Coturnix japonica: one gene and its partner. The protein of the gene in region 1 interacts with the protein of each later gene in a biochemical or structural test. Links are inferred from orthologs where the notes say so. Each region holds a gene or a part of one and is shown on either strand. Other genes may lie near its edges.

Evidence for each region. The genes of interacting proteins can lie anywhere in the genome.
Region 2: the proteins of NHLRC1 (region 1) and EPM2A form a complex in vitro, tested with the Homo sapiens proteins (3 studies listed by BioGRID, with this or other methods). The link is inferred for Coturnix japonica from reciprocal best matches to the Homo sapiens genes NHLRC1 and EPM2A.

What each region holds. Positions count from the first base shown.
Region 1 is NC_029517.1:68,538,947-68,542,887, forward strand, and holds the start of NHLRC1 (E3 ubiquitin-protein ligase NHLRC1), read right to left. Parts: upstream 2,806-3,941; 5' UTR 2,460-2,805; coding exon 1,314-2,459; 3' UTR 1-1,313. Other genes in the region: TPMT (thiopurine S-methyltransferase), read right to left, coding at 2,959-3,074, 3,871-3,915. UniProt on the Homo sapiens protein: E3 ubiquitin-protein ligase. Together with the phosphatase EPM2A/laforin, appears to be involved in the clearance of toxic polyglucosan and protein aggregates via multiple pathways.
Region 2 is NC_029518.1:41,848,287-41,852,371, reverse strand, and holds the start of EPM2A (laforin), read left to right. Parts: upstream 1-1,282; 5' UTR 1,283-1,356; coding exon 1,357-1,618; intron 1,619-3,660; coding exon of another isoform or gene 3,661-3,798; intron 3,799-4,085. UniProt on the Homo sapiens protein: Plays an important role in preventing glycogen hyperphosphorylation and the formation of insoluble aggregates, via its activity as glycogen phosphatase, and by promoting the ubiquitination of proteins involved in glycogen metabolism via its interaction with the E3 ubiquitin ligase NHLRC1/malin.

The sequences.
Region 1 (3,941 bases):
ATTTGACCTCCAGCCCACTTTTCAATTAAGCTTTACAAATAGCTGTATTTAATATTCTTGTTTGCTCTGCTTTTATAAATGTGAACACAAGATATTAATACAAGAGGGCTTTAATATATCATTTGAGGGCCAAAATTGCTCCAGTTTGAAATAATTGGTATATGTTATTCATACAGTATTATAAGTAGTTAGTTATTAAATGGCCAAGAAGTCAGAGCAAATGCCAAATGAAATGTTAACCAACAGGAAGACTACACATGAATTCGAAATGGCTTTAGATAATATGCATGCTTTCAGTCAATAAATACACCTTCATAAAAGTTTTACGTTAATCTATTTGTCTCCACCGCACAAGACACATTTATATGCAACTCCCTTTTAGTGCTGCACTAAGTAATTAGTTCAGAAGCACTTGGAATTCCTAGAATGCAGCAGTGACTTCTAGTAGGTGTGTTATTTTGTTCTAAATTTACATGGATTTCTGTGGTGTAATAAGGCAACAGAACTCACATCCACAGCAAAACTGTTTTCAAGAGTTGTTAAGCTGCTATCTGCTACCAGCAAAATACTTTTTGTAGGCTAGGAAATGGCAAGGCTCTCATCCCCTTGCCCTTATTACTCCCCTCCAACATTCAAAGTTTCGACTGAATGCTGCAGAGTGGTACAGAAGTACCATGTTGATTTCAAGACAGACGCAGGCAGTACTGGAAATCTCTCAAGAGTACCTGTGTTACTAACATGGCCAGTTCTATTCTGTAGATGCAGAAGTACCTGTGGTCTAAACACAAATACTTGGAGATGGTTTTAGGGAAAGCCACCCATGCCAGTAACCATACATCACAGTGAAGATATGGATGGATCCATGCGTTATGTGGGAAGTGTTAGCATTTCAGTAAAACACTGAAGAGGTGGTAAGAAATGCATACAAATAAGTGCATTTTCTCAGTATGGAGAAGAAAACAGAAAGGCTTTGAGCATCTATTCACTTCATATGAATCACTAAATGCTGATAGCTCATGTATTACAATTGATCATGGCTAGATCAACTGGCCTTGAGCTGAAGCTGCCATTTCTCCTCGCTTGCTTGGTTCACTGCTGACTTCAGTCTGCAGCAGCCACATTGTCTCCTGCTATACATGGGATCTGGTGTACACTTTGTGGGAAGTACAGTACATTGGTCTAAGAGGGTGATTTCACTTCACACAAAGCCCAGGGAATAATACTTCCTCCCTGTGTGCCTCTGAACACAAGTACTGCACACACTTTGTAGCCAAAAGCAGCTCAAACCAATAGCTGAACACATCTAAGCCCACTCAGGCAGAGCTATATATTTTTACTGAATGATCACCGCTGTCTAAAACAACGAGGGAGTTGTTTGCCGTGTAAGTTAGTCCTATGGGATAAGTAAGCCCATGGCTAACTAGAGGGTTAAAGATGGGAAACTCCTCAGGTTTCCCCAGGCATATCACAGCCTGACTGCAGACATCGGTTACGACGATGCAACCCTCTTTGTCAAAGGCCACAGCCGTGGTATATATTTTGGAGGGGAAAACGAGGTTCAGCCCAAAGCTATCCATCTGGCCAATGAGAGTCATGTCTGCGCTGAATATCTTCAATCGGGTGCTGCAGCTGCTTGGTCCTTTAGTATTCAGGTGCTCTATCACCACAACAGCACCCGAGCTCGGGCAGACCGCCACCCCTCTGGGGCACGTTAATTTGGACCGGACCAGCTGGCACTTCTTCAGCTCCCCCTTGCCAAAGTCGGCCGTCAGGCGGTACAGAGCTCCAGCCTCGGCGTCCGTCACCATCACGTCGCACTCGGGGGTGGCACCCAGTCCCCAGGGCAGGCAGAAGCCTTCCCGCACAGCCAGAGTCCCCCTCCCATCAAAGTCGAAGGCCTTCACCGAGCGGTCCCCGCCGTCGGTGACCACCACGTGCCCGTCCGCCGTGACCGTCACACCCAGCGGGTACTTGATGTCGTTGTCCGCGTCCCCTCGCTCCCCGAACCTCTGCAGGCAGGACCCGCTCGGCCCGAAGACGTGGATCCTCTTTTTGCCGTCGTGGGCCACCGCCAGGCGCCCCGAGCTCCGGCACGCCGCCACCCCCGTGGGGTTCAGCAGCGACCCCCAGCCGCCCAGCGACAGCTGCAGCCGCGGCGGGGCCGGGCCGCCGGCCGCCCTCCCGAGGGCCGAGGGGTTGAGGCCGCCGGGGCCCAGCAGCTCCAAGAGCTGCAGCAGCGGCAGGCAGTCGCTGGTCTCGCCGAGGTCGCAGGGCCGCCGGCAGAAGGGGCACTCCAGGCGTCGCCGCTCGGGGCCGCCCAGCGCCTCCACGCAGCCGCGGCACAGGACGTGTCCGCACGGCAGGTTACGCGGCCGCCGCTGCCCGTCGGGGCCGAACCGCTCGAAGCACACCCGGCACTCCACCAGGCCCAGCTCCGCCTCGTCCGCCGCCTCCGCCATCCCCGACGCGACCCGGCGGGACTCAGCGGGACGGCGCCTGCCCCCTGCGGGACGGATGCGGCGGTGCGGCCCGGAGCACGGGGCCCTGCTGAGGCCTCCAGCCTCCAAGTCGCCGTAACGGTGCTGCTGCTATTACAGAATCACAGAATGACCCGGGTTGGAAGGGACCTCAAGGATCATGTAGTTCCAACCCCCCTGCCTGGCAGGGCCACCAAACATACACATTTACTAGATCAGGTTGCCCAGGGCCCCGTCCAACCTGGTCTTGAACACCTCCAAGGACGGTGCCCTATATCGGGGCAAAGAAAAGCTATGCACAGCTGAAGGCAGGGAAGTCAGCTGTGAAGTCAGAGCTGATTCTGAAAGTAAAATCATCCAGACAAAAATGTTTCGCAGGCGTTTTTTGTACCCTGAAGCCTGCTTTAAGAGTGCCCCAAAACATGTAAAACATCAGACAAACATAAAAGGTAGGAGGTATGTTATTTTAAACTTACTTCAATCAAGCCACAAACTTTATTAGATACATGACTTCCAGAAAATAATCTAGTCCCCACTGCTTGTGTTTGTCTGAGAAGTCACTGACTTTCTGAAGACATTTAATTTCACACTGGCTGCCTGAAAAGGAAGAACGAATGACTGGTCAAAGAATGGAAAGTCACTGAAGAAAGTAAGACATCAGAAAACACAATCCTATGCACAGAGCTCCTCTTGGTCCCTAACAGCGTTACACAAATCAGCTGAGGAAACCTTACCTGTCTATACTGCACTGGCATGCAACTGTCCATAGCAATGACTCACTGCACACAGACACGTCAGAGGTCTCAGAAAGATGTACATTGAAAAGTGCAGTGTCAAAGGATATCAGGAAGAACGTTCAAAACTAAATACCTGCCACAATTCTAACATTATCTTTTTACTGGGATGGAGCTGTACATTTAGCATTTCTGTAGCATGACATTTTAATTTTCTTCTTTGCCAACAAAAGTACAGCAGAAATGGTAAAACCAATATCCAAAGGCCTTGCATAAAAAACAGGTGATGAGGTGCAGAGAAAGGTGAAATGGTCAAACAGGACTGAAGCTACAAGGCCACTACGTGCAATCTGGATCCTGAGAGGGCAAAAGGATGCCAGGGAAGGAAAGAGACAGCGCCTGCCTCCCGGGTTTTCCTCATGTCTTTTCAAGAGCTGCATTAACAGCAAAAGCCTTGTGACAGCACAGCATTTATTTCACTTATTACTTGTCCATGACTCAATATGTTATCTAAAATGTAAGCAGATGACTCCATCACTTGCTGTAGAAGCACACAAATACATATATGTGCTTTGCAAAATAAATTAATTAATTTAAAAAAACAAACAAACAAAAAAACCAAAACAATAATTCTAAGTGTTAGCTGAAGTACTACTTACCAAACAGGCTTTTAACTTCAGATTCAGGAACACAAAATGGTGGTCCTGTAAAGAAAACAGTGAAGCTAATC
Region 2 (4,085 bases), on another chromosome or scaffold:
CACCCTTATCTTGAACACCTCCAGGGATGGTGACTCCACCACTTCTTTGGGGTTTTATGTAGACACAAGATGCTTTTAGGACTACTGCCACGCTTGAGGTAGAAAATCTAAGTTTACCATCGCTCTCTGTACTGCCCTTAATACTAAAATGAAAGTGTATGCTACAAGGGTAGATATTTGATGGATAATTATGAGACAGGTTGCAGGTAACTTGACTGTAAGGTCGAGCAAAAACAAGGATTAAAATGTGTTGCTTTGTTCCACAAAAGCAACAGGGCTAGGGGGAGGGCTGCCAGAATCCCCTTCACTTTGGTTATGTTTGGAACAGAGGTGGCATATCACTTACAAAAGTTGAATTGGGATCAGTGAAAATGAGCTCAAGCATTCTTAAAAATACATTTGGCAGTACATATTCTTCAGTGTGTCATCGCCATCGAACACAGGAAACAAGCAGCCACCTTTTGAAGCAGGATTTCTTTTGACTCACTGAAAGGCCTTCATCCTGTTCCCAGAACTTGACCTAAATAAAGTTACTACTTCTCTGTTTCTGTCTTTAAACGCTTCTGAAATGGGTGTATTCAGACAAGGACCGTCCTATAAATGGTTGGATCGCATCCTTTCCCTCAGTCTTTGCAAGCCCTGAATATTGCTACATGTAGGAGCTGCCAAATTACAGCCAGAAGGGCAAGCTAGAATGCAGGCAATTGAGAGCAGCAGAATTGTTGAAGAGCTGTCTACCACCTGCTGCCCCCACCAGTCCCTCACATTCCTGGTCTCACCATGGCTGGCATCTCCCTGCCTACAGAGGAGGTATAACTGTCCTGAGCACTAAGCACGTTATTTGGGACCAAACCTTGAGGCTGTTTGTAACACCGCAGGTATAGCAGTGATTTAATGAGGTGTTTGCAGCACTAAATTAAGTCTCTCTGGACTAATTGCAGCAGCTTCATTGAACAAAGCAGTAATGCTCGCTAAAGTCAATATACGTAACGAGCAACCCTTTGCAATCTCAGTTCATTAGTTATCTGCTGGGATAATAGTCACGGATGCACTGAATAGCCCGAGTTGGAAGGAACCCACAAGAATCACCCTGGCTCCACACAGCACCTCCCAAAATCAAACCTTACGAAAGCAATGTCCAAACACTCCTTGAACTCTGACATTTGAGGCCGTGCTGCCGAGCAGCCCATCCCATGCCCTCAGCGGGCAGCCAAAGCGAGGCACAGCCCCAGCCGGAGCGCCCCGCCCGCCCCGGTCCCCCCTCCGGAAGTGAGGGTGCGGGGCGGCCCCTGGCGGCGGCACGGCTTCATTCCCCCCACCCCATACCCTGCCGCCTTCGGCCCGGTACAGCTCGCCATGCTGTTCCGCTTCGGCGTGGTGCTGCCGGCCCGCATCGCAGAGTGCGGCGGTGCGCTGCTTGTGGCCGGCTCGCGGCCGGAGCTGGGCGAGTGGGACCCGCAGCGCGCCGTGCCCATGCAGCCAGCACGGCCGAGCGCAGCGCTGGCGGCCCAGGAACCGGTTCTGTGGCTGGGGGAGGTGCTGCTGCCGGACGAGGACACAGCCAGCCCCTTCTGGTACAAGTTCCTGCGGCGGGAGGGCGGCCAGCTTCTATGGGAAGGTAAAGGCGGGGCTCGGGCGGAGCGGGGTGGGGCTGGCAGCTGACGCGGCGGGCCGGGCCAGGCAGGGCTGCGGGGGCTGCTTTTCTCTCTTGTGTTCTTAAGAGCTCAGTTACTTTAGTCAGTTTCTACGAGCTGTTGTTGTAGATACAGAAGTATGAAGCTGTAAATTCTGCCCAGGGAGGTGGTGGAGTCTCCTTCTCTGGAGATATTCAAGACCCGCCTGGACGCCTACCTGTGCGACGTGGTGTAGGGAGCCTGCTTTGGCAGGGGGGTTGGACTCGATGATCTCTAGAGGTCCCTTCCAACCCCTACAATTCTGTGAAATTCACCTCTCCTCACTGAGGAAAGGATCAGACTTGGTGAATAGAAGACGGATGATTAAAGAATTCACCACGTTTTTATCCAGTTTTGTAATCCGTGTAGAGAATAGCACGTTATAGAGCAGTTACTCCTCATCCTTTTTCGGGGTGTGTATTTAAGCAGCCAATCTCAGGTTGCCCAGAGGTGGTGGGAGCTCAGACCTTGGAAACACTCAAGGTCAGGCTGGACGGGCTCTGAGCAACCTACTCAAGCTGTAAGTGTTCTTGTTCACTGCAGAGCAGTTGGTCCAGATGGCCTTTAAGGATCTCTTCCAACTCAAATGATACTATGATTCTGTCACAGGGAGTGACAGGTTGGTGGCTTGTGTCCTGTGTCTTGAGGGGAACTGGTTCCTCTCGGTAGGAGGATGAGGTGGGAGAGGAGGCTGTTGTTTCCCCAAAGGGTCAGATGCTTGCAGTGACCCGAGGTGATGACACTGATGCTGGTGCTCACCTGGGGCCTGTGCCTTAAAGCCATCGGGCCCTTTGGGCTCACATTGTGATTCCTGCATGTGCTGTGGTCCAAATAATGTTTCTTTGGCAATGGTACTTTGCTTACCTGCTGTGAGTTCAGCTGAAAGGCCTGAAATACAGGAAGATTAAGTGTGTGATATTTATCAAAAACCAGTTAATGATGTTGAGCTTCAGAGTCTAGAAGAATTTTACCCAATAGAATAATAAGGGAATATCAATGCTATCTTCTTTTCAGCAACATCCTTTCTGTATTTCTGTAATCTGTTTTTGGTGTAGATTCTTTAGAACTGGATTTATACATCTCTTTCAGTCTGTGGTCCAAATAAACTGTAGGTACTATGCAAGATAAATGTTCCACTGAACAACAAAGGAGATATTAAGGGTATGCCCCAAACTGTTCTGAGATGATGCAATATGGTCTCTTGGTACCTGAGCTTTTGAGGAGGGGAAAGTAAATGTTGATCCATGTTCACATAACAAACATTACTTTGGGGGCAGATGGTTCTCTGTGGTTCCTTGGGAGTCTTCAGTTCAATTTAGAAGCAGCCTCTGGCTGTGGATGTTGACCTTGGTATGGTCCATTGTAGGGGATTGTGGCTCAGTGTCTGTGTAGCTTCTCTTTATTTTGGCTTTGGCTACTAATTTCGTAGATTAAGTGGAAAGGGAAATTTGTTGATTTGTTAATAGTTTGTTTAACGTTTCTTCAGCCCTTTTAATGGAGCTGCTTTATGCAGCGTTGCTCCCACTGGGTGTCGCCATTTTACCTGTGTATAGCTGTGTACAGCCAGGGGCTGCTTCTCTTGCAACTGCTCGCAAATCTCATCAGTATTTAGTCCAGCATCATCTGTTCTGCTTTTGAAAATAACACGGGGTTTTATTTCCTTCCTCCATTCTAGTCCTGTTCTAAAGAAGATAATGTCTAGGAAGGAACAAAAAGTGCAGTAGGATGTTGATAGCTGAATAATTGTGTGAGCCTGTTGCATCCTGTGTGGTACTGGGTGCTCGAGAACCTTTCAGCTGCGAGGGAACTTTGCTATGAGCAAAACTGAATAAGTTTGAAACCTGCTTCTGAATACAGCATAATGAATGGAGAGAAGCTTTTGTTTACAAAGTACAGTAGCTCCTGGTCTTCTGTTCTTCAGCTCCCTCAGCACATATAATGACATGATTAGTAACAAGGTTTTTCTTCCTTTCTGTCTGTATGTCAGCATTAAGCAACTTAAGCTGAGCAGTCGACTGGAGATGTATAAAGCAATGGAGAGTTGCCCGAGAAACTGCAAAATTAGAAGAGTGAAAATAAGCATGTGCAATGGTATTTGCCAAATCCATACACATGAATTGGACAGGTATGTGTCATCCCTACCCACAGTGACAACTGCAGGGCAACTCTGATTGCTGTGAAAGGCTATTAAACATTTGTGGTTATAATGATGAAATAAATGTATTGATTATGCAGATGCCTCACTTATTGCTATCCACTCCTTCTCCTCACTTCTAAGGGACAGCAGAATTTAGTATGGGTCAATAATTTATTTTCAGTGTTGAAAAGCACTGAGCAGTAGAAAAATAGGTAACTGGGATAATCTTTTGATTAAGATTTTGCCATAGTTACAGTCTAGATATAGTTTGTTTC